Linked DNA regions of Drosophila melanogaster. The protein of the gene in region 1 interacts with the protein of each later gene in a pairwise test. Each region holds a gene or a part of one and is shown on either strand. Other genes may lie near its edges.

The links.
Region 2: the proteins of CG30109 (region 1) and CG3603 interact in a two-hybrid assay, tested with the Drosophila melanogaster proteins (one large-scale study listed by BioGRID).

What each region holds. Positions count from the first base shown.
Region 1 is NT_033778.4:17,663,619-17,680,141, forward strand, and holds CG30109 (uncharacterized protein), read left to right. Parts: upstream 1-6,463; 5' UTR 6,464-6,563; coding exon 6,564-6,710; intron 6,711-6,768; coding exon 6,769-6,888; 3' UTR 6,889-7,130; downstream 7,131-16,523. Other genes in the region: eIF3c (eukaryotic translation initiation factor 3 subunit c), read left to right, coding at 2,449-2,541, 2,604-5,243; CG30108 (uncharacterized protein), read left to right, coding at 5,868-6,014, 6,069-6,188; IBIN (induced by infection), read left to right, coding at 7,482-7,607; P32, read right to left, coding at 7,947-8,188, 8,247-8,591, 8,712-8,916; Sema1b (semaphorin 1b), read right to left, coding at 10,692-10,890, 10,954-11,146, 11,209-12,219, 12,293-12,975, 14,208-14,301, 14,654-14,786.
Region 2 is NC_004354.4:2,939,596-2,956,546, reverse strand, and holds CG3603 (uncharacterized protein), read right to left. Parts: upstream 8,514-16,951; 5' UTR 8,442-8,513; coding exon 8,399-8,441; intron 8,330-8,398; coding exon 7,623-8,329; 3' UTR 7,427-7,622; downstream 1-7,426. Other genes in the region: rst (roughest), read left to right, coding at 369-599, 904-1,006, 1,346-1,894, 2,017-2,732; CG17959 (uncharacterized protein), read right to left, coding at 8,996-9,442; CG14423 (uncharacterized protein), read right to left, coding at 10,098-11,015; CG14422 (uncharacterized protein), read right to left, coding at 12,051-12,874, 13,011-13,071; CG14421 (uncharacterized protein), read right to left, coding at 14,277-14,938, 15,011-15,065; CG14420 (uncharacterized protein), read right to left, coding at 16,081-16,892.

The DNA.
Region 1 (16,523 bases):
AGTCATTTTTGTGCATTCTCAAGTGCTCCTGTCCATGGCTTTAGCTTGTTTTGGGGTTTTTTCCCTGGTTTTTCATTAGCTTGGGAGTTTCCGTCTTGTGGAAACTCAGTGTGCAGCATGAAAAGGGTGTTGTCCAAATCCCCGAATAAAACATGAGCTCAAGATTCTGATTACGACTGTAACCTTTATGTCTGCTCCTCCTAAATTGAAATGAAAAACACGCAGAATTTATAGTGCATGGAAAGAAACTATTCAATTTATTCGCAAAAGAGTTTTGTAGTAAGCGGACATTAATTTTACAATATGCTCCATTATATTAAAATATCCATAGGAATTAAAATATTTTCAAATTGAGAGAAGGCAAATTATTAAAAATATAATATTATCGAATAAGAAATACTTTATTTCAGGAAAATATTTATCTAAATATAAAGCCATTTTTTCTGTGTAATGGATGATGACGAATTGAATGAAAAAGAAGTGCATCGGTTTTATCAATAAAAACTAAATTAAAATGGAGGCAGGAACGTGGGAGTAGTTATTAGGAATTATTCATTGAAATTGCGTAACTCAACATTTGTATTCAATCAACAGGAAATCTATGCTCGAGCAAGGGCAGAAATCGCATTTAAATGGAAATTTCTATAGTCTGTTTCGAGCATCGGTTTTGAAAATATCCAACCCATATATAGGATTTATGGGGCCGCACAAGCCGTAACAATCCAACGGAAAACGGAAGCAAAATAAACAGCACAAAAGCGTAACGGAAACAGAAACAGAACCCCAGGAAAAAGGGGCCCGTTTTTGCCGATTTGGATGTATGTAAATGCATATAAGCTTTTGCACCCACACACAATTTACGATTGCAGCTGCAGTTTCGGAGGAGTCAAGGAGCAGAAACCCGTACTATTTCACGGACCCTTTACGGATTCAAATGTCGATAGGCGGACAGGGAATTTATGGAGCTCTCATCAATTTCTCCGGATAATAAAGCCGCCATATGCACTCTCGAATGTCAGCTGTCGAAAAGCCAGGAAAAGGGCGATTACGCGAGATTAACCGATCAATTTTTAATTTGCCATTTCCGAGACCGCAGATACACACATCTCCATCAATCTGCAGTTATTATTTATTATGCTTACATTTGCGTTAAAGTGTTTTCCGTGTTACTCGTGTTTTCAAGCGATTCCGGGCGTCGCATCTCATTTAGGATGCCACTTAAACAGGATGTGGATGGGCAGAGCACATGCCACGCACACACCGCACACTTGGGCCAAATTTTGTTTACACCGCCAAGACACAACACAACACACAAGAATTCAAATGAATGAATTTATTGAATTCTTTTTAGCGGGCCGCAAAAGCACTTGAGACTCTATCGCCGGATATTGGCATCAACGCTGCCAAATCGCCGAGTACATCCGAAAAATTGAGTTTTTGAACTTGAACTGTCCGTCGGCGCGGAGGAGAGAACGCATGCGACTTGTTGGCGCGCGCGAAAACGTTTGGCTTGGTTTTGCTTTGGCCTTTCCTTGGCTGCCTGGCTGCATGTTGGCCGGACCAATTGATCCGGAGATTGGTTGGGGCGCCAGAATGGGAACCCCACTCTGTTTGGCTAAGAAATGCCGGCACTTTTGCACGCAAGCGCAGCAACATGTTGCTGGCAACTTCAAATGTTGCAGGTCACCAATGCAACATCTATGTAAGCATTGATCACTGATTATCTTTTTAACATTATTTTGAATAGTTACTTAAATGGCCACTATTTCATTTTGATGATATATTTGCTATGTAATTTAATGGATTTATTTTAAATGTACCGCCCAACCGGTTACTTGATATCGATATATCTCGAGAAGTGCCGGCATTTCGTTATCGATGAGTACGCGCTCGCATTCAGTCAAAACAGTGACTCCCTTAGAGATGGGATAGATTTCGGTAACTGTTGGTCCGCCACATAAAAAAACAAATGTTCTGTTACATTTAAAAAAATGTTTAAAACGCTCTCCTTACGAATATTAGTAGAGAGTAATCATTTCTCAACATGACAGTTATTATTAATACATAAATCAAACGCCCCGCCCCGTGACTTTGAGCAATATATATCGCCAACGAAAACACATGCAACCATCGCCCATCTCTAGTCTCTCTTTTTGATGTCTTGTGCATTCGACATCGTTTAGTTTTGCTGTAAAATAGTAAGTTTATTGTGAAATATCAAACGCCAGGTGGTAGTAAACACTTAAAAAGCAAGGCAGTGAACCGATTTCTGCCAGGGCTTCGAATGAAACAACCAAATGTCATGCGGAAATATTTGGCATACGTTTTTGCAAAACGCCATGTTGGCCGCTCAAACATAACCTCAACAAAGCAAAATCTTATGTGGCCCGAAACTAATAAATTGTGATTCCAGGCGCAGACAAACGGCCGCGTAGAAAGTCAACAAAGATGTCGCGTTTCTTTGCCAACGGGTCCGAATCGGAGTCCGAGTCCAGCGAGGAGGAGATCCAAGCGACCAACTTCAACAAAGCCAGCGCCTTCGTAAGTGCCGCCCAGATGTGAAACTCATCCATTACTAATCTATTCCTTTCCGTGGAAAACAGCAATTCAGCGACGATGAGGAGGAGGTCAAGCGCGTGGTCCGCTCCACGAAGGAGAAGCGTTACGAGAACCTCACCAGCATCATCAAAACCATTCGCAACCACAAGAAAATCAAGGATATTCCCAATACCCTGAGCAGCTTCGAGGATCTGACGCGCGCCTACCAGAAGGCACTGCCGGTCATCTCAAAGGAGGAGAACGGCATTACGCCGCGATTTTACATTCGCTGCCTGGCCGAGCTGGAGGACTTCATCAACGAGGTGTGGGAGGATCGCGAGGGCAGGAAAAACCTTTCCAAGAACAACTCCAAGTCGCTGGGCACTTTGCGCCAGAAGGTACGCAAGTACATCAAGGACTTCGAGGACGATCTGTCGCGTTTCCGTGAAGCACCCGACCAGGAGAGCGAGGCCGAGGACGAGGTGGTTGCCCTGGAGAGCGACGGCGGCGATGCTGGTGATGACAGCGACGCCGGAGTGAAGCCTACAGAAGCGGTTCCGAAAGCTGTGAAGTCCGCGCCGGCAAAGGCTGCGCCCGCCGATGATGACGATTCCGATGACTCCATTGATTGGGACTCGGACTCTGAATCGGAGACCGAGTCCTCTGACGATGAGAACCAGTATCAGAACATGCGCGAGCGATTCTTGAAGCGTACTACCGAAAAGGAGGAAAAGGATGATGACAAGAGGAAGGACAAGCGTAAGGAGCAGAAGACCAAGATCCGCAAGCGCGCCGAGGACGATGAAGATGGCGAGTGGGAGACTGTGGTCAAGGGTCATGTAGTAGAGAAGCCCAAGATGTTCGAAAAGGACGCAGAGATCGATGTTCCCCTAGTGCTGGCCAAGCTGTTGGAAATTATGTCGGCTCGCGGCAAGAAGCGCACCGATCGCCGTCTGCAGATCGATCTGCTTTTCGAGTTGAGGGACATCTCTGATCAGCACAACCTGGGAACCGCCGTCTCCGTGAAGATTCATTTTAACATCATCTCGGCTATCTACGATTACAACCAGAAGATTTCCGAGCCCATGAAGCTAGAACACTGGGCCCTGCTTCTGGAGGTAATGCAGAGCATGATGAAGCTCCTGCTGGCCAACGCCGACATTATTATGAGCGAGAGCGTGGCCGAGGAGCATGAGGAGTACGCTACGTCACCGTTTTATGTGAGGGGATGCCCACTGGCTGCCGTGGAGCGCCTGGATGACGAATTTGTTAAGCTGCTGAAGGAATGCGATCCACACTCCAACGACTACGTGTCCCGGCTGAAGGACGAGGTGAACGTGGTTAAGACTATTGAACTGGTGCTGCAGTATTTCGAGCGCTCTGGCACCAACAACGAGCGCTGTCGCATCTACCTGCGCAAGATCGAACATCTCTACTATAAGTTCGATCCGGAGGTGCTGAAGAAGAAGCGCGGTGAGCTGCCAGCCACTACCTCCACCTCCGTAGACGTGATGGATAAGCTGTGCAAATTCATCTACGCTAAGGACGATACGGATCGTATCCGTACGAGGGCCATCCTGGCGCACATCTACCATCATGCTATGCACGACAACTGGTTCCAGGCCCGTGATTTGGTGCTGATGTCTCATCTGCAGGACAACATTGATGCCGCCGATCCCGCCACCCGCATCCTGTACAACCGTATGATGGCCAATCTGGGTCTGTGTGCCTTCCGCCAGGGCAACGTCAAGGATGCGCATCACTGTCTAGTGGACTTGATGGTCACCGGCAAGCCCAAGGAGCTGCTCGCTCAAGGACTGCTGCCTCAGCGCCAGCACGAGCGATCTGCCGAGCAGGAGAAAATCGAGAAGCAACGCCAGATGCCATTCCATATGCACATCAACCTTGAGTTGCTTGAATGTGTCTACCTGGTGTCCGCTATGCTGCTCGAAATTCCTTACATTGCCGCCCATGAATTCGACGCCCGCCGCCGCATGATCAGTAAGACCTTCTACCAGCAGTTGCGTTCCTCGGAGCGTCAATCACTGGTGGGTCCACCAGAGTCGATGCGTGAGCATGTCGTGGCTGCTGCCAAGGCTATGCGTTGCGGCAACTGGCAGGCGTGTGCCAACTTCATTGTCAACAAGAAGATGAACACGAAAGTGTGGGACCTCTTCTACGAGTCTGATCGCGTGCGCGAGATGCTGACCAAGTTCATTAAGGAAGAATCGCTGCGCACCTACCTGTTCACCTACTCGAACGTCTACACCTCGATCAGCATTCCTTCGCTGGCGCAGATGTACGAGCTGCCCGTGCCGAAAGTGCACTCCATCATCAGTAAGATGATCATCAACGAGGAGCTCATGGCCAGCCTGGACGATCCATCCGAAACCGTGGGTATGCATCGTTCGGAGCCATCGCGTCTTCAGGCCCTGGCCATGCAATTCGTGGACAAGGTCACAAATCTGGTGGACGTCAACGAAAAGGTGTTCGACATGAAGCAGGGCAACTTCTTCCAGCGCGGCAACATGGGCAATCGCGGTGACCGTGGCTACAACCGCAACCAGAACAACCAGGGCGGCAATTGGCTCGGCCAGCGGCGGGATCGCAACAACCGGAACCGTAACCAGCGCGGGCACCACAAGAACAACCAAGATAGGCAGCAGCAGCAACAGCAACAAGTCCAAACGATCGACGAGGAGTAGACGTTGCTGCAACCTCAGCCCATCCTCTCTAGCGAGCGTTAGCTTAAACATCAGCAAAACTTAAACAGATCAAATTTGTAGCACTTCGACTATTAAAATGGAATGGCCATGGACAACACGTTGGGTCACATGCTTTCAGGCCTCCGATTCGGTTTCAGGCTGGGTCGGAGGTCTGTTTTTATCATGTCCATTGCATATTGTTGTAGCCAAGTCACACGAACATTTGTTTCAGCGCTCATTACGTTAAATGATAATACTAATAACTACATTTTGTATGAACCCAAAACCGAAAAAGAAACCTTAAAAACAAGAGACACAAAATCAGTGACTTTTTTTTGCAAATTTTTACCAACAACTAATATTAAATTTATATGTACTAACAAGAGTATTATTTTAGTCGGCTTAACACTTTGGCTTTTGAAAATTTAAGAAAACTAAGAATAACATTTGAATTTCGATGACAAGCTTCGTTTTCTGCAAAACTTCGGATATCGATATGCTCTTTTTTTCTCACATCTCTGAAACCTTTTCTTCAGTAGTACCGTTCGACGTACCTTTGTCACATTTTTTCGGAACTCTATAATAGGCATTATAAATTAAAACCAAAATATACCTAGTAAACAAATGAGCAGCGTTGGCGAGGATTGCAACGAGCTGAAGCAGCAGTACGATGCCTGTTTCAACAGCTGGTTTTCTGAACGCTTCCTAAAAGGTCAAATGGATGACTCAGCGTGTGCTCCGATTTTCCGGGTTTATCAGGAATGCGTCAAGGTGAGCTAATCGGCTCCCTAACCACGTATGGTTTGACCAACCTGTAATCCCCAGCGCGCTATTAAGGAGAAGAAGATCGATTTGCAAGAGATAGATCCGATCTTCGAAACCGGGCTTGAGGAGAATAATGCGAATAGATCTGATGCAAAACAGCAGCAGGCGGGCGAAAGCTGACCCCGTAAGCTGCTCCATATAGCCATCCTAATCCTCGCCAGCGTTAATTGGTGGCTGCACGCGCTACAAAATACTTGTAAAGAGAAACATTTCGTAGTACTTTGACTGTTAATAGTATCATCATGAAACATGGACAACTGATTTCGTTATAACCAGAGTGCCTTTATTAAAATAAATTAGATGTTCTTAAAGAATTGAAAATTCAAATTTCGATAGCACGTTCAGTTTCAACGAAACGTACATCGATATGCTGTGTCCCACATCTCTGATAGCTTATCTGTAGTATGACCCTCACACAAACCATTCTCACATTTTTTTCGACTTATTATTCAATAGAGAAATTATAACTGAAACTCAAAGAGCTTCACTCCACAAATGAACAGCATTGGCGAGGATTGCAATGAGCTAAAGAAGCAGTACGACGCCTGCTTCAACAGCTGGTTCTCGGAAGGCTTCCTTAAGGGCCAGACGGATGACTCGGGCTGCGCGCCGATTTTCCGGGTCTATCAGGAGTGCGTCAAGGTAAGCCCAGGTTTCAAGTTTCATCATCCAGCTGGTTGACCCAATCTTTGACCTTTAGCGCGCCATGAGGGAGCAAAAGATTGAGCTGCGGGAGGTCGGATCTGAGTACTGCACCGGCTCGGAGTACGACAATGCGAGTAGTTCCGGCGGAAAGACGCAACCCAAGACAAAAAGTTGACCCGTTACGCAGCTCCAGCATCCTGGCAACGGCATTGAATCCACAGTGGGCCAGAACCCGGGACACAATGACCTCACCGGTAATCAGCGCCGACACCAGAGTGGAGGAACAGCCTAGGTCTACCAAGTACCAGAAGCAGCTTTGGTTTAGTTCCATGACTCGTATCCTTATGTAAATTATTTAGTGAATGTTTTATAAATAAGTTCAAGTAGCGAACTATAAAAAATGTTATATTCAGACAGAATCCGTCTTTGAGTTTCTTAGAAGTATATACAAGCCTATGATTAGGTAATGGTCGCAGTTCTTATTATTGGTCGTATAAAAAAAAGCTTTTTAACGAAATATATAAAATCCATCTTAATGACAAAGTATGACATTACATGGCCTCCACGCTGATAATCCTGCTTATTGTGAAACAATAACACATATAGGTCGTACATTAATGGTAAATCCCATCGCCCAATAAACAGATCGGAGTACTTCCCCAAGAGAAAGGTCACTATTTCAACGATAAGGTGAGGCAATCTCACCTATAAAGAGGAGCATTAAAAGCTGCAGCACCACAATCTAAAGTTAACTTGCCGTTAATCAAGATGCAACTGCTGCCAATCCTCGTGCTCCTCGCTCTCCTCATCTGCGCCGCCTGCAAGAACCACGAGGACTGGGGAGGATACCGACCAAGTGACTACGATCCCAGGCCATATTTCCGGCAGTTCTAAATGATCACGAAACTCAACCCACAGGAAAATCTTTACGAAAAATCGATGCAACCATAGAAAGAAAATAAACAAAAAAAAAAACTAGGGAATTAACGTTGTATTTGTTAAAAACCAAAGCGAAGCTGATGCCGAAAAGGGTGAATTATTGGCAACCGTTTCTATAGTTTTATCTGAAACATGTATGAATGTTTTATGGCTTAAAAACTAAGTTTCACTGTCACAGTTAAACCAAAAACACAACTAATAAAAACTGTTTTAGGTGATGAAACTGCGACAGCAGACAATAGAAACTTAAAAACCTACACAACTTTATGCTTTAAGATTAAGTGGGACGAACATTCACTTGCCACCGGCAGTGAATTTGGAGAGCTTTTCCAGCAGACCAATGTAGGAAGTGTGCTCATGGGCAGTGGCTAGGTCCGACAGTTTTTCGGCAAACTCCTGACTGATGCCCTTCTCCTCCAGCAAGTTGATCAGCAAGTCGTACAAGTAACCGTCAAGCACGTCGCCTGCGACGGCGTAGACCTTATCGTTCCACTCGCCCTCGAAGATGGCCATTTCATCAATGGAGAAGACATCGTCTGAAAGGTAAAACCTGTGTTATCGGTGAATCAAAACGATTTCTGTCAAAGTACTCACTGTACTCGCCCTCCTGAGCTTCGCCTTGAAGGAAGCTGCAGGTAAAGGACAGCGTAGAGTTGCCCTTTATGATGTCCACCTCGAACTGGGGCTTGCTTCTCATTTCACCGAGATCCGGCTTGTCAGCATTGGGGTTGATTTCGGGCTCCTCCTCGCTGTCCACCGTATGGTTCACATTGAAGCTGACCACCACCTTTTCCTTATCCGTCTGCTTGGTGAGCTCCACATCGGCGCCGGTCAGTTTTACGGCGAATCCATCCAGGGTGCTTGGCACCGTCTTGCCCTTTTGAACCTTGCGCTCGGCCACTATCTCCTCGGTGAGGAACTCCACCAGTTCCCGCTCACCTGGATATAAACAAAGCGTTTAATTTTCTGTGTTTTGGTCAACATTTCGTCACCCAACGTTTGAGGTTATGTAACCGGCGGCATGGACCGCCCATGTAAGAATTTGTTGAGTTAACTTACATTTGGTGTGCACGTTGCAGCCGCACGTGCAATTAATGCTGGGCTTGTGGAGATTCAACACGGTTACATGATCGGATCCTCCGGCTGTCACCGGCTTTTTGGTCATGTGCCACAGGCTGCGGGTGAAATCGCGCTTGCCGAGAGATCCGGCACTGGAGCTGGCCAGAGCGGCAAATCGCATGGTTGCTGTCCTTAGGCTGTTCATTTTGTTATATAACCGCGACCTGGGCTTTTTACTTTAATTAAACACTGAAATGTGCAACACGCCAAAAGTGTAGTGCCTGGTGTGACCGTTGAATCTTATTCAGAAAATCACGAGGCTGATGTATTGTAGAGCCATATCAGAAGTTATCGATCATTTTTCGGCGCGAAAGGCTTTATCGTAAACTATTCAAATTTTGAAATTAGCCTTTATTGGAAAAATGATTGATTTCAATAAATATAACCAAACCATATTTGCTGTAAAAATTCAATGTTTCATAGATCCGAACCTATTAAAAGACCACATTGAGTTATGAAAAAAATGACGACTTTATTAGATTTACGAATTGCTTATCGGATGTATACAACAATATACACATTACAAGGACATACACAGTAATAAAAACTAAACACCATGAAGGGTTTTCTCTGGTTCTTGATCCTCCGAGTGGAAGACCCATTCCTACGCAATATTATCATGCATGCAATCAGACTCGTTCGTCATATATATCATTGTTTTTCAACCAAAAGGCATATCATTTCATCTTTCTAAAATTTCAATAAAATCTATCACAATATGAGAAATCATTACATTACGTTTTTTTTTGTAAGATTTAAAAATATTTTATATATAGCTTTTATCGGGATTTTCCATTTTTAAGACTTTCTTATGTTAAGATTTAGACATTAGGCGTACATATACGTATAAAAATATATTAATTACGATGAAAATTGCATTTTACACGTTTTAAAAATAAAATTGCCATTGTACATTGTATTTATGCAACTTCTTTAGTGGGACGGACAACAGCTTAGAAATTAAACATAAAATTATTAAAATGCTGATTTACGTTGATTGCCAACCAAGCTCATTATTTCCATCCAAAGCTTACAAGTTTAGCGTTAAGGCCTAGATTCGACACGATTTTATACTATTTATAAGGCTTGCTGTTGTTGCAGTGTTCATTTATTTTCGCTTTCTTGTGCGTTTTTCCATCTGATGATGTGGGGGCTGCGGTGTCAGTTCTTATCAAACAGCCTCATAGAAGTTTTCTTCGTTTCTTAGCCTAGTTCGTACTTTTAATTACATTCTATGTTCAATTCCTTATAGAGCTTATGTTAGATACAATTTTACGCTTTTGTTAGCCACAAAGCATAGAGCTTTAAAGTCTCTGTCGCATTCTGTTAGTTCTCCACAAAACAAACTCATATAGAATAATTAATCATTCAGTCTAACAAAATACTTGTTGAATATTCGATTGAATTTCGAGAAATAATTGGGGCTGGTCCGCTTCGGGTTCGATTTCGGTATGCATGATATGTGATTAAATTTGTACAGCTCTAATATTTGCACTTAAAGATTATACATTAAGAGTACACATAAGGGGCGACACAATCGGGCTGCGTAGCCAAGAGCCGGCACTCCTATTTTGGACAGCAAAGGTCGACGTCAGGGGAATGCGGAATGCTTCGGGTTAGCTCCAGGCTGCGGCAGCCCGCACACTACGTTGTCAATAAATTTAACTAAATTTTGACAAAGAAACTAAGCTTACGCAAATTTTACATCAAATTAAATTACAATACAAGCTAAGTAAAAAAGACGCAACAGCTCTGCTTCCTATCTTTCGGATGCGTTTCAAACGCATCCGAGACTGTCGTTTACATTATTCGCAAATTGGGTGGGGGGTTACTATAACTAACAGCAACATAAACAACGAAAATATGTTTTAGAGTATAGAAATTCGACTAATTTTGCAGTTGGCTGCCCTCACAAGGCCACTAGATGTAAGTGCGTTTCACTTTTGTCAGCGTTGACGTTTTGCAGGGCAGCTCTTTTTCCAAATGTTCCGTGGAGTTTTTGCACTCATGACTGCGATCCTTTTCTAAATCCAGATTAGGTGTTTTTTGTGTGGTCGTATAGGCATTGGAGCCCATTAACAGGTTGATGTCTTTGCCAGTATTTTGATGTTTAAATTGCCTGTCAAAACCATTTAATTAGAATTGTCCAATATGGATTTGCATCTTCCAAGATAAAACTTACATTGGCTTGCCGAAATGATTGCGGTGACTTTCATCCATTTGGGCCTCCATCAGGCGGCTCTTAGCCTTCACACAGCATATTCCTGCGATTCCACCCACAAGGAAGGTAAAGAAAACGATAGTTGTAAGTAGCATGAAGCTGGGCGTTGAAGCATATTTGATTTCATCTACACTGGCCGTAGACTTTTGGGGATCTGTCAACGAAATGCGAATATTAAACCACAATATTCCTAGGAAAATAAATATTAGTACTAACCGTTCAAATTCGGCATAATATCGTCGGGATCCATGGACGTAAGGGTGATCTTGTTCAAACCAAAGTCATCGCCACCAGTTGGCTGTTGTTCCAAGCTTGGCTGATTGCCCTGCGACGAGCCCACATTGGAGTACAAAAGCTTCTGCTCCTCTGTTGGCGGTGGAGCCATGGTAACAAAGCTTACTGTTTCCGCACCGGGTGCATCTCGGGGAATATGAGGACATAGCAAGGCAGCGGCTTTCTTGGTGCTATTCAAGCTTTGCAAATAAGTCTTTGTTCCGAACTTGTGCTGACTCGTAGCCAGGTTCTTGCATTCGTGTGTCTGTAAGTCCCAGGCGCAAATGGGATCCTGGAGACTTAAGCAGCCCAGACAGTCGACAATGTGAGAGCAGTGGTGCAGGGGCACGCTAACCAAGCTGCCATCGCTAACCACAACCAACGAGTTTTTCGAAGTGGAGATCACCAATTCCCTAATTGGCGTTCCAAGTGGAAGGACCTGCATCTCTGATATAACCACTGTCTTCAGGCGATCAACAGTTGAGTTCGGGTGAGTGCTCAGTATATTGATGAACTTGGTCACCTTGCCGTCATCGGTGCCACTGTATATAACATCGTAGTAAGCTCCACTTAGGGACTTTACCTGCGGATGCACTGCGATCGCAGTAAGTCGGTGGTGCAGATTCACCTTGGTCAGCAGCGGACGACCGTGCACTGCTGGCACAGCCTCCTCCATCAAGGGATGGTTCTTAATGAAATTAACCGCGATGCTGGTCAGAGTTCTAGAGTCCTCAACGCACTGTCCTGGACGTGGTTTCGGCACTTGCTCACGCTCCACTGGCAGCCAATGGGACTGTGAATCTTTCTGCGACTTGAACTCTCCATCAAAGGCGGCCAGTATATCGTCTACGTTAAATGCGCATACGGCCGAGCCAGGAATGGCATTCACAGAGGTTGTGAAGACAGCATAAATCAGTGACTTGGATCCGCTCTCCACAATCGGACTAATGGCCTCTGTAAATGGAGTTTGCAACAATTGAGATTATAATTTTTGTAAAGAATATCCAAAACGTCTATTAAAACTTACGGATTTCGTCAAAATAGAACGGAAACTCGCCGGGCACCGAGCAGTTGAGTCGCGCCTTAAGGAAGGAAGTCCAACTCTTGCCGTGACTGTAGGGACCACCTCTATCGTTCTTGCAAACCCTGGCGACGCGCGAATAAACGGCCTTGCCAAAGTTCATGACTTCCATTGAGAGTTCGCGGAAGAAGAACAGCACGTAACCGTTGCGCTCGATGGCGCCAACAAAGTCCGGCTGGTTGAGTTGCTTGAGATCATATTGTTCGGTACGCAGGTTCTCCCTGTAGATGAGAGGATCTCCACCCGAAAAGTCCGCCACGGTGGCGCTGTACAAATGCCCGTCGGCGAAGGCGTACGTGCTATTGTGGGCGGGGCTGTAGGGGCACAGGCCCTGGGCCTCCACATCTCGGCTGACTTCGTAGCGCATGGCATGGGCGTGACCAGCAGAGCCGGCCTCCTCGGATGACACTTCCACCGGCGTGTAGTGACGACAGCGCGGCTTATACGAATTGGTGCCGCAGAGCAGCACCTCGCCATTGGGACGCAGTGCATAGACGCGAAGGTAGTTATGGCAATCCCACTCGTGCTTCCCCTTTAGGGCACACAGCTCCCGGTCCGCATCCGTGCTGTGCCACTCCAGACGCGCAATCTCCTTCAGGCCATTTAGGCTCACATTGTAGATGACGTCCCTGCAAATCGAGATAGAGAACAATTGAATAAACAAATGCGAGAATTAATACGCCGATGGCGTGTGCCTGCCCAGAATGTGAAATGGAATGGAAGCCAGCCAAGTACGGTGACCAAAAATAAACGACAAAAAACCCGTGAGTTGAGAGCTTCGTGACAGGAGCATACAAATGTTTGACTGAACAGTGCCGGTTAAAGTAATAGTTTTGAATAAGAACTATTGATAGATGTGTAAGCAAAGTACCTTACTTTCTTTGGCTCAAATACATTTGTTAATACAGCCTTAGCCTTAAGCAACGATTTTGCGACATTTCATTTTATTTAAGTAATCAAAAGCTTAAAAAGTAAACACTTGTTAGCAAGTTTTACAATTAATAAACAACGTGTTTTTTCATTAGCGACAGCCCAGGGTATTATTATTTCTTCACTTTGCATTAGAGCTTTTTCAAGAGCACACTACTATTATTTTGACCGCATCTGTTTTTACGCCCCGCCGACAATCATATCCCAAGGTTGCCTGTGTGCAAATAATTAGAACTTGTACACAATTGTATAATTCAGCGTTTTAAGTGGCTAATTATTGTTGCTGCTAATTTGTTGCTATGTTCTTTATGGCACCAGCACGTCTGGGGCGCAAGAAAAATATGATAGATCGAAAGCTGGTTTGCATTTGTCGGTCCATTTCAGATCGCCGATAGCTGATTATTAGTCACCCAAATGGTAGTTTGCGTGGCTCTCATGTAAATGGTAATTATAAAATGTACATTATCGAAAAACCTATGCATTTAATATTTTTCAGTTAATAAATGTATATACCAGACTTCGTTGAAACGTGATAAAAAAAATAATGCCTTCTGACTTAACTTTGTTCATGAGCAATATAATTATATGGATGAAACTGAGCAAGTGTTATTTATTCCAGACCTTTGTATCTCGCCAATGCCAAATCACTTCGACTTCCCGGAAAGGGAATGAGAAATGCTAGATTTGCACTTGCCACTAATGAAAAACGAATACCAAGCCAAGCGGCCAATAAATCGGTAGAGTAAAGTAATGCCAAATGGCGAGCTAATTATTCCGAATCGGACGCTGTATAATTGTGTTTTTATAAATATTTAAACGTGTTCGTGCCAAGTTTATTTGCGCACAGGTAGCTTGCTCGGTAGCGGGAACTTTTTTATTGCTTGCCAGAAATCAAAGGGATCGTAAAAGAATGTTAAAGAAATTCACTCACTTGGCACCAACTAGAACAAACTCATCGTTGTGGTCCAAAATCTTGAAATAGTCCGTCGAGTTGCCTATAAAATGGGCTAGGACTTTGTCTTGTTCTGCAAAGAAAGAAAGAAGCAAAGTGAAATGTTATTGACTGCTGGGATTATATAACTTGTGCGTTTACTCGTGTTTTTTTTTTTTTTTTTTTTGAGATCTTGCACAATTTCATTTTAATTTCTGTTTAACTCGATTCAGAGGAAATGCTAGCGCTTGTTGCTGCTGGCATTGCGAAAATTCCGCCTGATAAGCAGCTTGGAAAATCGGAGCTTAGCTTGAACAGCCTCGCTTTTGTCATTGATAAACCAGCAGCAACAAGACCGGAAAGCAAAAACCCAAACAAATGACACAAATAAACAAATAGTTATAAAGTTAGATTGAAGAATAAGGATTCCAACTACTGCCACATACTTGTTTGCAAATCAGGCTTCACGTCGGGCATCCAACCTGCCACGATCGTCAGGCCGGATAAGGTGATCAGCAGTATCATGGGTATCGCATTAACTAACATCGCCGCCGATGAAGGTCTGCTCTTGGAGCTCATTCTGCTGGCTTGTAGTAGGAGATGCGCGAAACTAGTACTCCACTACTCCTCCGAGTTCTGATGATTCAGCTGCTTTTTGCTCGTGGTGCCAATGGGGCTGCCTGGCTGGCTGGTTGGATGGCTGGCTGGCCTCTCCGACTGCTTTTAATCACTGACGCCTCGCATTCTGATGTCCGATGTCTGCCATTGTCGTCGATAGTTGTGCTGATTACTGGTGTTATTGTCGCTGCTGCTGCTGCTGCTGCTGCTGCTTCAGCATCTGGCTATAAGTATTCGAGTGTCAGCGACAACGACACAATGATTTACGCCCAGCAGAACAACTTGTTGGTTTTATTTTAATGCAATTAGCTGTTGGTGGCAAAAGGGAAAACGCAAAACCTGCAATTGAAAAAAACAATGCCATGGCATAAGGTGTGTTAGAAAATTATTAGAATTTTTTCAGTGAGCCGCGGCGAGTGCAATATCATTTATCGAGCGAGCACATAATCAGTGAACTTTTGACTAATCAAACCGAAACAGTATGTAAGTTGGCCAAAGAGCACGTAGACAGCAATCGTGTTTGATTTGAAACGCATAAAAATTTTGTTTATATCCGCCATAAATTTGTTTGTTTATCATTTGGGTTTCCCCTTTGTCTTGAATCTGCTTTTATTACCGAATCAGATAATTAAATCCACTTATATAACGGCTACTTGTGAATTCTGCACACTTTCTTCTCGCCAGTTTCTTTCCGGCTTACTTGTGTTTTGTGTCTTGTGTTTTCGGCTGTTTTCGTTTTTGTTTTTTTTTTTACTATCATGAGTTTGACCAGCGGACCGCGAACCGAACGTGGGCTAGACTCAATGAGCACTGAACACCGAAATGAGCATGAAATGCGAAAAAGCAAACAACGTAAGGCAACCGCCCACGCTTTGAGAGCCACTGGCGAGCAGTTTGAGCAGCACTTGCTGCTGTCTCTCTCTCGCTCCACCTCCTTCGATATCCCTCTCCGTCTACCTTTCGGCTACAGCCAATCCTCCCTATGTAGAACACATTCTAAAGGGCGTCGGAAAAACCCAGGGTGAAAAGTGTTTATCTTTCAATCTTCATGGACACTTAACTTCTGGTTCTCGCGCCTTGGACTCCCTTAAATTCGGAACCTACAAAACTTGGGTTCTAAAAACATTTTTAGATCACATAGTATTGTTTTGGGTACTGGGTATTACTAAGTTTACTCAACTCTTACAGATTAAATTCGTTAATTTTTTTTCTTAAACAATGCATTATTCATTACTTGCATTACTTCAATAAAATATATATATTTGTCGTATGTGATAATTTTATATTATTACTAATGTACAAAAAAGTAGAGACTGATATCTCTTTGGCTTAAGTCATGCAAAAATTGACTCAGCCTTAAATAAATATTATTTAGTAAATTTATCTTTTGAAAGAGAATAAAATTTTGAAATACAAAATTTTTTCAAAAATTATAATTTATGAATTTATTATAATTATAACAAGGAAATATATAAGAAACGTAATAGTTTTTGCAAGGAAAGCCTCACTGTATGATTCCCAATCCCAACCAATATTCCGCGTCCTGGCTGACATGTCGTGTTTTCCGAGCATGACTCATGCCGCCAGTCAGGTTTTCCTGCTTTTGTTGGGAATCACGTGCGGTATTTTCCGCCAATTTCCCTCCTAATCAGCGCTGAACTACGATTTTCAGGACGTGCCGCTGACGCTCTACAACTG
Region 2 (16,951 bases), on another chromosome or scaffold:
TCGAACCCCACATTTCGTCCGGGGTGTGAAAGTGAGGAGCCAACAAAGGCCTGACCTCAGCCCACTTGTCAATGGCCTGGTTTTCGGCAAGGTGGGTTGCAATCGAGGTAGTCACATGTCCATGGCGCTGACAAATCCCTGACGAAGATGTCTGGCCAAGGAGTGCCGGGATTCCCAGATGATTGAGATGATTGAGGGCCAGCTTGAAGCGTACGCATGGGAATTCCTTGGTCATCAAGGACATTGCACATAAATTGGTAGCACAAGAGGGCCTTTTGAATAGGAAACGGTTTAACCAATCTCATATATACAATCAAAAAATTTAAAGAGTTTGCACTCCATTTAATATGCGTCGTAATTTTTTTCAGGTGAAATATGCCCCCAAGGTGAAGGTGAATGTGATGGGCTCGCTTCCCGGCGGTGCAGGTGGTTCGGTTGGTGGTGCAGGCGGTGGCAGTGTCCACATGAGCACCGGTTCCCGTATTGTGGAGCATTCGCAGGTGCGCTTGGAGTGCCGGGCAGATGCGAATCCCAGCGATGTCCGGTACCGCTGGTTCATAAACGACGAACCGATCATCGGCGGCCAGAAGACAGAGATGGTAAGTGGCGCTCCTCCTCCTCCTCCTCCTCCTGATTTTTCCTCGGCGCTTTAGCAGCGCCTCTCCTTTGAATCGTTCCCCCGAGATTTTAACTCGGAAAAACAGGTCCACATTCCACTTTGGCAGGCTGGCGCATAATTAGAGCAACTATTGCGATTAAAATGCTGCCCCTGCTGTTGTATAATGTTGGCAATTATATTGAAACCAGTTAGATCGCCACCGGAAAGGCCTAACGTTCCCACAATTAATCGCAACTGGAACTCATGGATCGACCCTCTCTCTTCCCGTTTTCCCATCGTTGCAGGTGATACGCAATGTGACTCGCAAGTTCCACGATGCGATTGTCAAGTGCGAGGTGCAGAATTCCGTGGGCAAGAGTGAGGACAGCGAAACCCTTGACATAAGCTGTAAGTAGTCCAGCATAATTTACAATTCATTTAAGATTTTCTGTATAAGGAGTACAAAAGTGCGACTGCGACTGGCATTTTAATGTTGAAACGTTATTAATATCCGAATATATCAGAATAAAATACAACATAACGTAAATTGTTGACATTTGTGAATTTCCATAAGTCAATAATATAGCTTTGGGCATCACACTTTTGGCAAACTCAATTTAGACGTTTTCCTTGCAAAACTTCAAACATGTGTTGAACAATGATAAATATTTAAGATATATATATATATATATATATGCATTAAAATAAGCCAATTTAATATATATTATTTATTCGTTTAAATTGCAGATGCTCCCAGTTTCCGGCAGCGACCACAGTCAATGGAGGCGGACGTTGGCAGCGTGGTGTCCCTAACCTGCGAGGTGGACAGCAATCCGCAGCCGGAGATCGTCTGGATACAGCATCCCAGTGACCGGGTGGTCGGCACCAGCACAAATCTCACATTCAGTGTGAGCAATGAGACGGCTGGAAGGTACTACTGCAAGGCCAATGTACCCGGATACGCTGAGATTTCGGCAGATGCCTATGTCTATCTGAAGGGCTCGCCGGCGATTGGATCGCAGAGGACACAGTACGGACTGGTGGGAGATACGGCTCGGATCGAATGCTTTGCCAGCAGTGTTCCTCGAGCCCGTCACGTCTCGTGGACGTTCAACGGCCAGGAGATCAGCTCGGAATCGGGACACGACTATTCGATTCTGGTTGATGCCGTGCCGGGGGGCGTGAAGAGCACGCTCATCATTAGGGACAGCCAGGCCTACCACTACGGAAAGTACAACTGCACGGTGGTCAACGATTACGGCAACGACGTGGCCGAGATTCAGCTGCAAGCCAAGAGTAAGTATCGCATACTAAAGTTATATAAAATGGTTTTTTTTTTCCGTTTTTGAAACGTACAATTTCTTAGTTAGCCCGTCATTAAAACGAATTTTCCCCCACTTTTCTTGTGTTCTTTGCAGAGAGCGTTTCCCTGCTGATGACAATTGTGGGCGGCATTTCGGTGGTGGCCTTCCTGCTGGTGCTGACCATTTTGGTTGTGGTCTACATCAAGTGTAAGAAGCGCACCAAGCTGCCGCCAGCGGATGTGATAAGCGAGCATCAGATCACGAAAAATGGCGGCGTTAGCTGCAAACTGGAACCAGGCGACCGGACCTCGAACTACAGCGATCTAAAGGTGGACATTTCGGGCGGCTATGTGCCCTACGGCGACTACAGTACGCACTACAGTCCGCCTCCGCAATACCTGACCACCTGTTCGACGAAATCCAATGGCAGCTCGACCATTATGCAGAACAACCATCAGAACCAATTGCAACTACAGCAGCAGCAGCAACAGAGCCACCACCAGCACCACACACAGACGACGACCCTGCCGATGACCTTCCTGACCAACAGCAGCGGTGGCAGCTTGACTGGCAGTATTATTGGATCCCGTGAAATTCGCCAGGACAACGGGCTGCCCAGTCTGCAGTCGACCACCGCCTCGGTGGTTAGCTCATCGCCGAATGGCAGCTGCAGCAATCAGAGCACCACTGCCGCCACCACCACCACCACCCACGTGGTGGTGCCCAGCTCGATGGCCCTGAGTGTGGATCCCCGCTATAGCGCCATTTACGGCAATCCCTATCTTAGGTCCTCCAACTCGTCGCTGCTGCCGCCACCCACTGCCGTTTAGGGTGGACCAGCACCGTCCACCACCAACACCACCACCACCACCACTGCCAACAACAACGATGACCCACTGAGCCACGCTAAGACTGATCTCACAAGGAACCGAGGCCCCGGCGGCTGCTTTTGGGGGGGTATCACTGTTCGTGGTGGTGCGTTTTTTCAGCTACCAAAAATTCGAATTGCTTAGGTTTAGGCACTTAGCTCACATACATCCGATTATATAGGCATAATCGTAAGCTGATCTTTAGCATCATCATTTCTATAGTCCTTAGGTCTAGGGTATTTTATTTTATGTTTTTTTTTTTTTTTGTCGTTTTTGTGTTCTTAGCTTAAGGATCTTACAGTAGGCTAATATCCCCAGTTTGATCTAGAGAGAGACTAAGCTTCAAAGAATGAGTGTTAAGCATTTACAGAACAAAAAACAAATCTTAGGAAGATTAGAAAGTTTTACTGCTTGTTGAGAAAACGCCGTAATGTACTAGTTAACTGATTGGGGATTTAACCTCCAGTTACAAGAAAGAAAAAAACTGGTTTTCTTGGGGGCGGGGATATGCGAGAGCCGTTTTGAACATGTTCTCTGATTTCATATAATGTTTCAAATATTATTTTCGATTCAAATATTATTTCCGTGTCTCTTATTCTCAAAACTTAATGCTCTTCTATTTTTAAAAAATTTGATTGCTATTTTTTGTACAGTGTACATGTGTACATGAAACTTTAGAACTATTTCGTAACGCGTAACTCTCCCAGAGATTTTGAAATCCCAAGAATATTCCTTCGTCAAAAACAGCTGCCCCTATATAATCCGCAAAAAATATATAGAATGGTAATTGAAAGAATTCAATTTTATGTATACACAGCTATAGTATATGCTAAATGTTAATGATATATATATATACAACAAGCATGAAGACATTCAGTTGAATGGATAGCGAGTAAGCGAACGAAATGCCAAAGTACCTGATAGTATTTAAGTAGGGGGTGGGAAAGTCTTTGGATCGGTACCGCCCGCCATTAACTTCTTCTGAATTATGTAGCATTATCTTTTCTCGCCGGAATTCTAAGCTATGACTTGGGATTCGATAGTGTGTTTTACGATTAAATAAATATAGAAGCTAGATCTTGACAGTCGCCTTAACTTATGACACGCCCATACATCTCAAAACGCCCATGCAAATATAGGAAAAGAAAACAAAAATGAGAGCGTAAACGTATTCAATTCGTCAGTTCAATTGTGCTAAGTGTACTTCTAAGTGTATAACGGTCTAATTATCCTAGTTGTAGCCTAACTAATGATAGACACGCATATTTAAAGTATAGAACCTAGCCCTAGATATACATACATGCATTTTTTTTCATAGGCCTAAGCATTATATTTTGATAAGCCAGCGTATTTCGTCTAAGGAGCCCCTGAAAAGTAAACATTACTATTTCATTTTGCTATATTTATTAGCTGTGGGTATTTTATTAGTGTCGCCAATTAAGCGCGAAACGAACAAATGTTTTTTGTTTACAAAATGCAAATGATAAAAGCAAATAAGCAGCATGAAACACACACAAAGTTAAACACGAAAACAAAAAGCAAAAAAAAAACTGAATAAAAATTTATTGAAAAAAAAAAAAAAAAAAAACAGAAAGCCGAGGAAAGCGAATTGAGAGTTGGACATCAAAGACGAAAGACAAATATACGGTAGGGGGCAAAAAACATTTTTAATTTGCCCAGGTCGGAAGGACCAACTGTCAGTTAGCTGCAAAAAGCCAAAAATCAAACAAACAAAAGTGAAATGAAAATGTTCCACCACTGGCACCACTTGCACCACCACCACCGCCAGTCATGTGTGTTAATTTATGGCAAGTCGACTCGCCGTTGTCGGAGCTACTGCACTGTGGAAAAAGGTGGGTATATTTTCGTATTTAAGAATGATTTGGCTTTCGAGGATAAGCAAGTGGTAAAATAAAAGAGGTTAAAATAAGAGAAAAAACGTCTTTAACTCTTTTCTGTATACTAGATTTGAATTCTATTATGTTTTTTTGCTATTGATTTATTTTAATTTAATTTTAATTTATTCCAGAAAACGCTTTCTACCATATTTTCACTCAGTGTGACTGACCAGAGTTGTGAAGTTGACAATGCAAACAAACGGCTCGCTAAGCTCGACTAAAAATGCTTAATGAGAGTGCGTAAGGGTGGCCCCCCAACCGTTGAACCACCCACCAGTTCACCACTCCACCCGCTTCCCCCTTTCCCACCCCAGCCCACCAGTTTCAGGACCCTTTTTCGCCGCCCCTTGAGGCAAGTGTTGGCCGCAAGAAATTCTGCGGCTATGGGCAACAAAGTCGCGCACGACGCCCATTAAACTAAATTAGTTGCCCTTTGTCACCGAACGACCCTCGCTGTCACACGTGGCTCGCTGGGGGCGGTGGGGTCGAATGTTTTGGGGCGGCGGGTGGTTCGAACATACGTGCACTTAGCCAGAAGGAAGTTGCAATTGCGGTTGGCTGTGTTAATTAGCGTTTTCTTTTTTTCCTCATTGCGAAAGCGAAGGGGAAACTCTCGAAAACTGAAACTAACGTGAGTTGGCAAATGTCAAGAGACTGGTGAAAGTAAAGCCACAGAAACTGACATTAGTTGGAATCCTTTTCAGAACCCTTTATGAAAGTGCACCAGCTTCACTTCAGTTTCTTTAATGCTAATGCTACTCTACTAAGGCAATATTCAATGCAAAGCCTTGTACACATTGATATTCACTTTGATATACTTGCATAGGAATATTCAATATATTTTTCCTCACATATGTATGCTTATAGTATTTTTTTTATTTATTTTGGAAAATTGCTTGGCGTTTCCCAAGCCCCCAACCTCGTTGACAATTGGCAAAAGTTGCGAGTAAGCTTCTTCAGAAACAGCAATTCGCATTGTCCGTGAAGTCGTGCGGAGTTTTGCCGGCGCGTTAATCACTCTGCAATCCAACATCCTTTCGGGTTTCAGGTTCCCTCGGCTCCTCTTTGGGATGACTTTTTTTTTCAAGGGGAGGACGGAGGACGGGACTGGAGATGGCGCAAAAAACGGACACGAGGCGCCCGAAGAGTTACGATTTCATTAACATGAGATATGGCAACTGCCAAAGCGCTGGTCGCTCCGAAGCCTTGGGTTTTCTTTTTTTTTTTTTGGGTACAGGATTGGGGGTTTGTGGTTCGGTTCGGTTCGGTTCGGTTCGGTTCGGGGTCGGTTCGGTTCGGGGTCGTTCCGGGGGTCGTGTTGGGCTGGTTTATGGCTCAAGTGTTGGCTTGTCGTCGCCGCTTGTGTCGCACTGCGTTGTTAATTGCTACAAGGAGAGTGGTCGAAGGAGCGACAGAGACAGGTGGATGGAAAGCACTCGGAAAAATCATTGACCCACTTGGAAACATGGGATCTCACGTAAATAAATAATATTGCAAATCAAAGAGGTTGTGTTTTCTTATGTGCTTTGAAAGGGTAGCTGTCGTTGTTAAGAGGTTCCGCTGAGAGGTTCCTCCTGAAATATAATGTATATTTTTTCTGTTTGATGAAGTTATCTTTGGATGATTTCAAAAAAAGGCTTCCTTTATTTGTTTGAGTGCACGGATAGCAAAAAGAGCGGCAGCTCAGGGTCGCTTCATATGATTAGCAAATGTTTTGTTTTTCACTATGCACTAAAAACCAAAGGAAATGGGAAACGCACCAGCTACCAGCTGGTGGTTTTTGTGGATGGTGGCCGATGGGCGATGGGCGGCGGCATTTTGGGTGCTTTTCCGTCCGTGAACCCTAACCCCAAAATGGCTGGCAAGTTTTGTGTGAGCCTTTATGCGGTGGTGTCGGTGGTGGGAGGTTGCTTAATGTTGGGTGGCCACTGTAATTGCTGTTCTATGTGTGTTTCCCCTGTGTGTGTGTGTGTGTGTGTGTGTGTGTGTGACTGAGCGTGGGTGGGTGTTTTTGTGTCCCAGTGTGCGTGGCCAGTGCGGGAGAGTTGAATTTCTTGAATTAATAAAATGTCTTCATTATTTAAATTGCACGCACGACCACAGAGGCGGAAAACCCGAAACCCAAAACAACCCAACCACCACTCAAACATATGTGTGGAGTCGCCTGACGTGCATATATCTATCCCCCAATGCGACTGTGTGTGTAAGCGACTGAGTTAATTAGCAGCTGGGGAATTGTGAAATGTATTAATATTGTACATTTCGGTGGGTCCAAATAACGAATAGCCGACCAAAAGCCTTGCCAATAAACCACAACAAGCCGTGTCGCAACATTCCATTTCCCACTTCGACGGTCCTTTTGTGGTCACAATGTCGCAATGTTGCTATGGTATGGTGAAGTAGCGGTTCTTTAACTTATTAGAGCATAGATTTCTGATCATAAATATTTGGCATTCTTATGGGCATATCAATAAAAAAGATGTTACAATACTACCCCTAAAGATATGCTATATATATTGTCATTGTCATGTTACGATTTAAACGATAGTATCGATAAGCCGAAGAAAGATCACTCATAGATGGCGTGTTTGAATTTGAAGACAATATCAACAGGTGTGAGATTAAATTTCTGATTGGAAAACATGTTTAGTAATTTGATAGCATAATACGTTTTTAAAGTGTAACTAGTCTTATTAACCAGCTTTTCCTGGCAACAAAATGTGATACAGCTGTTAGCAACCATATGTTAACGTTGATAAAAAAAAAAACTTTTTACGAATGGCTTGACAAGTAAATGCAATAATCTGGTCCTACTCTTGCAATATATATATATATATATATATAGGGAATCCATTTTTCTAATATGGAACAACCAGGCAAGTATAATCTATACAAGCTGCGTGTTAGATGCCTTAGATCTACGAAAGTTATATTGCATATATGCATTTCACGATTATTTAAGGCCCCCGGTGACCTCGATGGCAGCCCCATTGACGTATGACGATTGCGGGGAGGCCAAAAAGGCAATGACCTCGGCGATCTCCTCCGGCTGACCCAATCGGCCCAAGGGGCATCGTTGTACCACCTCCTGCTTTACAGAATCGGGCACAACCGCTACCATGGGCGTGTCTATGTAGCCTGGCAGGATGCAGTTCACACGGATGCCAAACTTTCCGAACTCCTTGGAGGCCACCTCCGTGAAGGAGATCACGCCCGCCTTGGTGGCCGCATAGTTGGCCTGGCCCACGTTGTTCATCTTGGCCACGATGCTTGAGAGGTTCACAATGGTGCCGTTTTCCAGTTTCTGCTCGATCATGGCCTTGGCATAGGCCTGGGTAACCAGAAAGGTGCCCTTCAGATTGACCCCGTATACGTCATCGTAGTCCCGTTCGGGCATCTTGAGCAGATAACCATCTCGGGTTATTCCAGCCGAATTGACCACAATAGTGGGTGCCTGCTGGAATTTCTTTAGGGCCTCGGCCACCGAGAATTGAACACTCTGGGCAGAGGAAACGTCCACCTCCAGGGCGGCAGATCGCTCAGAGCCCAATTCCTGTACGGTTTCTTGGGCCGCCTTTAGATTGCGGTCAACGGCGATCACTTTGGCACCATCTCTGGCCAAAAGGCGGCAGGTGGCACGACCAATTCCTGATCCGGCACCTAAAAACTCCAGTTTAGAAGAGTCCCATATAAAGAGCAGATATCAAGAGAAAACAAACGAATACACACCTGTTACCAGGGCTACTTTTCCAGCTAGTACTCCCACTGACATGGCTCTAAAAATGACTTAGTAAACAGCAGTTTTCACTTGTTTTCTCCTCAACGGTCGTGCGACAACTATATAATCACTAAAATATATCGCCGGCCAACAGCTGTTCCAAAGCTGATTGGCTATGAACAAATGAAACATAAGTGAAGTGGTGGAAAGCTTTTTACCACACGATCGTTGTCAGAGCTTTTCGGTGGAACCATATGTTTATCAAGAAAAAAATGTAAGAGTCCAAAGATCACAAAAGCGCTTAAAAAAAAAATTGTGCTTTGTATATGAATTTTATGTTTGTTTGCCGAAACATAGTTTTAGGCTCGTTTAAAAAATACGTCTACGTCTCTGATGGCAACTAAATGGAAATTCATTTAATTTGTCATGTTTAAAAATATTAATATTTTCCATTCATTTTTGCTTTAAGGAAGGCTATTTGATAGCCAACAGTATTGAGTACGAGCAATACTCAATACTCAGCAATTGTTTTTAGCCCAGCGCCCAAAAGAGTGTACGTAAAAGTGTTGTATTTTCAAAATGTTTGTATTTATTTCCGGTCAATAATTTCACTGCAGTGGTATTAGGTAGTACTCCTCCAGCTGGGGAGTCAAGTTCGCACTCCGGACACCGCTATATCCAGCACTCCGGGCCAATCCAAATTGCCTTAGGAGCTTCTTGAGATATCTCTTGGGTATTTTTATCAGCTGTCTTCGGATTATCCGCTGCACCCTGTTCCATGGACGACTTCCGCCGCGGTGATCGTCCTCGGCATCCTCCAGCTGCTGATCCTGTTCTGGGTCATCCTCTTCCTCCACCAGATCACCGCCATATTCGTCCTTCTGCGTTTTGAATTTTGCCAACTGCTCAGCCAGCTGTTTTAGCTGCTTCTCGCTCAAACGACTGAGGTCAACGGGATCATTTTGAGCCCGCAACTGGAGTCTCGATCCACAGGCTTTGGCAGAAGCCTCCGGAATTGATGGTAACAAGATTGAAACCACGATCAGTACGATCATAAATCGCTGTCCAGCCATGTTTGTACTGAGCCCCGGGCTAAACAGCCGCTTAAATACCCGAAAATTGCCCCATCATTCGTCACGATCTGATCTCTTTGGTGATTTCGTCCCAAAAATGTGGGTCAAGTGCGTACTTTTCACAGACTTTTGTTTTTTCTTTGATTCTATGCCCATAAAGGAGATTGTACCAACTATTGTTTTTGCCTTTCTTTGCTTCTGAAGATCAACGATCATTGATCTTTGGTGCTTCATCGCTGTAACCTCCGATCTTTAGAGGGATGTTTTTTGAAAAATTGTATAAGCAATTAATATGAAGATGTAAATGAGCCTAAAGTAAATTGTGGGTAAGGTATGTACTCAGTTTCTTCAGTTTAATTCCTACCTTACTTGCTATTCGCAACTATATTTTAGCCCGTTCTTATTCTCTTATAATCTTATTATTTTGTTATACAATTTACTATTTTTATTATTAGTATTATTACCGCGCAAAGATAAAGTAAGAATGCAGTTTTGTTATTCTTGAAGGGCTTTATTTATCGTTTATCCTGCCGCAGGAAGTGTGGCAGTAGCAAGTTAGGCTACAATAAATTAGAAAAAAAAATTATCTTGCCGGAATGTGTCGGATCGTTGGATCCTGACCTTGAATCCTAGATCCTTAGACGGCGGTGATGCGATTGCGACGGTTCTTGTTGCGATTGCGACGATTCTTCTTGTTGCCGTTGCGCCTCCGGTTGTTCTTGTTGATTTTCTTGGCAGGCACTCGCTTGCGAACCACGCGACGCTTGGAGACGGGACGACTACCGGTATTGAGCATCACCTTCTGGCCGTTCTTGAAGTAGCGGCGGTAGCGGGGTGGGATGCGAACGCTGATCACCTGGCCGCGGCGGGCGCCTTTGCGTCGCAGACTGATATGGTTATTGCTTTGGGTGGCCTTGCCGCCTTCGACGGTGGCTCCGCCAGTTCCCTGGACCTCGTGCTCAGTGGTGACCACCTCGTATTCCTGGGCGCCAGCGGCCAGGGCGGCCTGCAGAGCCTGCTCGTCCATCAACTCGGCGGGGTAGGCCTGTGCGGGTTGGGCCAGCTCCTGGTCCTGTTCTTGGTCCTGATCCTGATCCTGTTCCTGATTCTGCTCCTGGTCGTCATCGTTGCTGCCATATCGGGCACCCTTGATAATCGTTTGCCGTGCGCTCGATGTCGTCGAGGTGGGTGTTGTGGGCGAAGTGGTAATGGTGCCAGTGGCCGAGGGAATGGTGCCTGTCGAGGTCACTGTCACCGTGGGCGAAGTGGGTGAGGCTCCTGTGCTAGTCCCGGTTCCGGCGCCGGTGATAATGATCGGAATCACGGGTTGATTGTTGCTGCTAAACAGGTTCTTGAAGGTTAGGAACTTTTTGAGAAACAGCCTGCCACTGGAGGGATCCTTGGCAGAGGTCGATGCACCAGCACTGGAAGCGGCCTGGCCCACCTTGGCATCCTGGTCGACTTGACGCGACTTCAGGGCCATCTTCTTCTCGGGTGCCGCTTGTGCGGCCAGAAGACAGCATGCCGAAAGGATAACGATGGCGTACAACTTCATGTTGGATAAATTTATAAACTCTTTTGGGTCTTCGGGAAACTACTCTGGTTAAAGAAGAGAACTTTTCGGATAGACCAAAATCGCTGCGATTTCTGTTGCTCGCCGATGGCTGGACAATCAGGCTTTGATACTTTATCGGCCAGCAATGAGGCTTTTTATAGTCCCGCAAAATACGCTGTGGAATGCAAATAAGTAAGTGCCGAACGGTAAATCTGTGTACACAATTGAAATTAAATTGATCCGTGGTAGGGCTCAAATAGTCAAATCGCTGCCAGCTATAATGTATATTCTCCAAATTCTCCGTCATCATCATTCTGCCGGTCATCCCATGGGTTTTCGGCCAAGCGGAACGCCTTTGGGTTTTCGGTTTTTGGATTTGGTATTGGAATTGGGGTTTTGGTCTTCAGGTTTCTGCAGCGCCTTGGGCTTTTGCTAGAGTGGGCTGAAAAAAAGTGAAAATCTATTGAAATCCATTTCTAATTGAAGCCGTTGGGTCGAAGGTGGCGCAAAGCCTGCGAAAGTGACCCACAAAGTGCCATAAATGTGCGCCTAACGATCTTCAATATTCCACATGTTTTTATCTAATAAAAAAAAGGAATCATTCAATCTATGTTCTTTTCGTCTTTTAGGTGCCTGAAATAAATTATTATTATTAATATATTGAGTAAATACATATGAATGTATGTATAACTCCATATAAAATAAATAGCATTTTCCTGCTACTATCCATTTGATTACCGTGTTCCTATCGCATAAATCAAATCTTATCTAATACGGAATATAAATATGTGCGATATAATAAATATATATGTTGGATATATGTTGTTGGGTTTTATCGAGTAGGATAGATATTATGGGCTTATTAATATGAGATGATAGTTGCAATTCATTTCGAGGAGGCATATATAGAATATTCTTTGACTAAACTGAATATGAGAATAGTGATAAGACAATGCATTTTTGTTTTCTATATATATTCGCTTTATTTCAATCGTACATGTCGTGGTTCAGAGGTCATTGCTGGTCACTGGTCGCTCAGTTGCGGCGACGGTTGGCGCGACGGCGCTGACGGAGGCGGCTCAGGCGATTGTTGCGTCGCTGACGGCGGCGGGCGTTGCGATGACGGCGGTTCTGGGAGCGACGCTTCTGCTGCTGGCGACGGGACAGGCGGCGGCGCTTCTGCTGCTGGCGGCGAAGGGCACGACGGCGTTTGTTTAGGGCACGACGGCGGCTCTGGTTGGAACGGCGACGGGAGCTGGCAAGCTGCTTGCGCAGCTGCTCGTTGAGTTCCTTCTGCCGGCGCAGTTCGATTTCGCGCATCAATTCGCTGTTGGACAGATTCTTGTTGCCGGACGATCCGTAGGAGCTGCTAGCGCTGTTGCGACGGCGAATAGAAGAGGATGAGGATGCAGAGGCTTTGGGAGCCACAAGCTGGAAGCCGTCGTCCTCGTTATCGTCATCATCTTGGTCGTCCTCCTGCACTTCATCCTCGTCCTTCAGATACTTCTCTTCCTCCACATCCTGGTCAAACTCCTCATCGTCGTCGTCCTCGTTTCCGTCGACCAAATTGTTCTGGTTGAATGAGCGACGAGCGGTGGTGGTAGGGTTTGTGGAAGTTGTCGTGGGTGTGGTGGTTGTTGTGGACGTTCCAGTTGTGGTAGTGGGCCCAGTGGGTGAGGTCGTCACTGTGGTTGTGGTGGGCACAGATGTTGTTGTGGTGGCTGCCGGAGGACAAGGTGGGTTCTTCAGGGACATAAGCTGCTGTAAGCTGCGTGCCTCGATCTGCACTGGCTGCTTGAACAGGCGGTACTTGGACTGTTGGGCGGTATCCTGGGCGGACTCGTCGTTGGAACGGGCAACTGGTAATTGATGAAAACATTAATGTAGCTCATAAAACTCAATAATGGTCAATCATCTCTTCCGTAGTCCGCTTAAATGTCTCTACCTTAAGTAGTGACTGATATTTTCGTAAAACCGAGTAAAAACTAAACTCACCAGCCGCCTGGGCAATAATTGCTGTGCCCAGCACCAGCAGAGCTCCGTAGAAGATCTTCATTTTGTGGTTTTCCTTGGTATTTCCTGCGGAACTGGTCTTGACCTTAGGATTGGATTGGCTGGGACTCTGCCTGGGGGAAGGTCTTCGATGAACTGTGATATTGCCAGCGGCCAGCCGGGTTTATATACCCAACGCTCCAGTTGCGGATCTAACAACAACAATCCAACCCAGAATCGGCAACCATAATTCTCATTATCATTTCTTTTTCGCAAATTTGCACATTCGCCAAAGTTTTTGCATAAATTTTGGTGACCGCTTGCCGATCGTTGAACTAGTTTGACCCATGCGACATATATTAACCAAAGTTCGCTATAGTATTTCACTTGGAATCTGATTGATAAACACAGATTTCAAAATTCCTGCAATAAGTTACTAGGTTTTGCCCTCAAAACAATGACGTTCTGTTAATGCAAACTGAAAATGTTTATATACCAATGAATTTTTGCTTTCGAAGGTTTCATCACATAGGATCCTGGAAATATTGGTTCAAATATTTTTGCTCTTCAGCTTTCTGCTTCGTCAATACTCAGGATGCATAGGATTTTGGAAATATTCATTTAAAGGGTTTTTGTAACTAAGGATCATTAAATAGGCTTATATATATTATAAAATTCATGTTTTGTGAATTGCTTATGTTTAAAAATTTACAATTTTTATTTCAATTATTAGGCCGCTTTAGATATTTGAAGTATTACACAACGGTTTTTTTTCAAATGGCTAATAAAGATAGCACAGTTCAAAGCTATATTATAAAAAAAATACTACCTTCACTTTTAAAGTGGTAACCCATTTGCTATCTCTTTTCAAATCCTTATAAATCCTAAAAAAAAAAATGTTGAGCCAATGTGTCGGCTTTTTCACATAATTTTAAATTAGAAAACCGTATAGTATCAATTCACTTGGTTCGGGTTAATTGTGAATTTTGAGATTTTATCAAAGAGATTAGAGCTTACGCATCGAAGCTCGATTGAAAATCGTTTTCATGTTGATATGTTGATGGTGATATTTTGCAAATATATGAGGTATGATATATACCAGATACATTTGTGGATCCATATTAATATATGGATCCATATCAATATGCTCAAGTGACGAATGTCTTTTGGCACCCGACTCCCCACTTTCCCAAAGATAGCCACAAAAACTATTCTATCATTGCAATTTATTCGGTGTCGTTTCAAATCGATTTCCGGGATATCCCCGCCTTAGGCGCCGATGCGGATGACGCGGTTCCGGTTGGGGGTGCTCTGGCGGAAGCGGCTGACCAGGCGCATGTTGGTGCGGCGGTTACGGCGCTGGCGGCGCCTCTGGTTCTGCTGCCTCCTGCGGCGCTGCTGCTGGCGACGCTTCTGCTGCTGGCGGCGCTTCTGCTGCTGCTGCTGGCGACGGCGACGCTGCTGCTGCTGGCGGCGGCGGTACTTCTGCTGCAGACGCTGGCGCTGACGGCGGGCGTTCACCTGGCGACGGCGGTTGGCCTGCGAGCGGGCCACCTGGGTATGCTCCTCCTCGTCATCGTTCTGATCCTCCAGCTGGAAGCGCTGATGGTGGCCCAATTGTTGCTCCTCCTCGTCGTCGTCCTCCTGATCATCGAGCGGCTCCAATTGGCGAGCGGTGGTGGTTCCAGTGGGTGAGGTGGTGGTGGGTGTGGTTGTGGTGGTCGATGTGCCGGTTGAGGTGGTGGGTCCAGTTGGCGAGGTCGTTACCGTGGAGGTGGATGGCAAGGTGGTGGTAGTGGGAGCCGCTGTAGTGGAGGAGCTGCTGCCCTTCAGGCTGTTTAACAGATCGGTCAGCTGAGTGGCGCTCAGGCGTCCTTGGGCGGCGGGCTCATCTCGCTGGCGACCGAAGATCTGGAAGTTCTGGGGCTTGGCTGTGAGTTAGATAAAAATGCGATACATTGTTAATCACTTTTGATAATCTCGCTGTTTGTTAGATCACCCACCGCTGGCAAAGGCAGCCAGGCACGCCACGATCAAAAGTCCCTTCAACAAATGCATCTTGAGTTATTTATCCTTTAGCTTGGCTGGAATCTGAGTATCTCTTGGATGGCTGAGCTGCTGTGACTGACTTCTTGGGTCGATCCGCGGCATATTTATATGTAACCATGGCCCCTACATAGCCCTAGTTCCCTAGAGGTTACAACAAATGGACTTGTTAAAGAGAAGGAACATATGCAAAAATCAAAAAAAAAAAAAAAAAAGAGATGTGTAAGCCGAGCAAAGGAGACAGAGCTAGTTTGTTTTTGGGCCTACGAAGAAAGGGCAAAGAAAAAGCCAGCCTATTGGCGTTGTAACCGTTTTGCATAATGCCATAAATAATCGCGATCTGACCCGTAACCTCAGCCATCCGATCGATCGCCGCTAATCATTTGCATATAGCTCGCGAATCGACACCATTTGCATATTCATATTCGTTTCTGATTTTAGATACTCTGTCTTTGGACAGCTTCTCTTCCACCGAAGGGCGAAAGTGGAGGTGAGGTGTCAATGAACCGCATAGGCAGTGACCCCCCGAGAATTCCGCGGAGAAAGACATTCACACGTTGGGCAACGACAGAGTCGCAGATCTTACGAGACTAAGGCTTGGTTCTTAGATAAATGTAGCATCTTTGGTATCCTAAGCTGCAGTTTTTCCAATAGCACAGAATGTCCATTTAGACCAATGTGACCCAATACAAATTTCTTGCATCTAATCTAAGTTGGTGTATAAAATCATGGGGATATTTAGAATCTTAGTTATCTCATATGATGACCATGGTTTCATCCATTGTTTTGTCCAATTGTTTGTCATAAAGTCTTTCCATAAATCAAGACTGATCTATAGGTATAGATTACATACAGAATTCCATTTCTTACTGGTTTAGATCTTAATGCTGCAATGATCTAACATTGTAGTTTACCCTTCGCTATTTGTTTTCGTAATAATGAAAAAAAAAAATTTGCTTTTTTTTTGCATACAAGTTCAGTTTATTTCGGGGGTTCTGGGATCGGTTGGGGATCTGGGATCAACTCCTTAGTTGCGACGTCCGCCACGACGACGACGGCGCATGAGGCGCACGAGCCGGCGGCGCTGCTGCTGGCGGTGTCTGCGCTGGCGTTGCTGCTGCTGGCGGCGACGACGGTTCATGTTGTTCCTCCTCTGGCGCTGGCGCTGGGCCTTGGAACGGTTCCTGTTGCGGCGCTGGCGCTGTGAGACGCGCTTACGGCTCTGTTGGCGCTGGCGGCGCAAGCGTTGCTGGCTTCGCTTCTCGGCGGCCCTCTGGCGGCGAAGCAGGGACCTGATCCGCTGGTTGTGCTCACGCTGGAGGCGCTGGATTCGGCGACGGTTGCGCTGTTCCTGCTGGAACTGGCGCCACTGGAGTTCCGAGGGGCGGACCAACGAGCCGGACTCTGAGGACTGCTGCACGGCATTGCTATTGCCACCGGCGGAAGGAGCGGCCACAAAGTAGCTCTCCTCATCGTCGTCATCATCTTCGTCCTCCAGGCTGTCATCACCTTCGTCTTCTTCATCTTCAAACGCCCTGGGCATCTCCTCATCATCTTCCTCAACATCGTCTTGAATTGCGGGGAAGGCACGACCGGTGGTGGTGTCGGAGGTTGTGGGCGTCGTGGTGCTCGTCGAGGTGCCAGTGGACGTTGTTGGTGCAGTCGGCGTGGTCGTCTCCGTAGTGGAGGTGGGCGTGGTGGTGGTAGTGGGGGCAACCGTGGTCGTCGTGGTGGTGCCCTTCAGAGATGTCAGCTTGTTGGCAATCGACGAGGTGAAGCGGGCCTCCATCTGAGCGTCGGAGGCGCGTCCACCCAGGCGGTACACATTGCGGCGTTCGGCTGAGATAAAATATTTTAAAATTATACGAAATATTTAAGGAACATATAAAGAAAGTAGT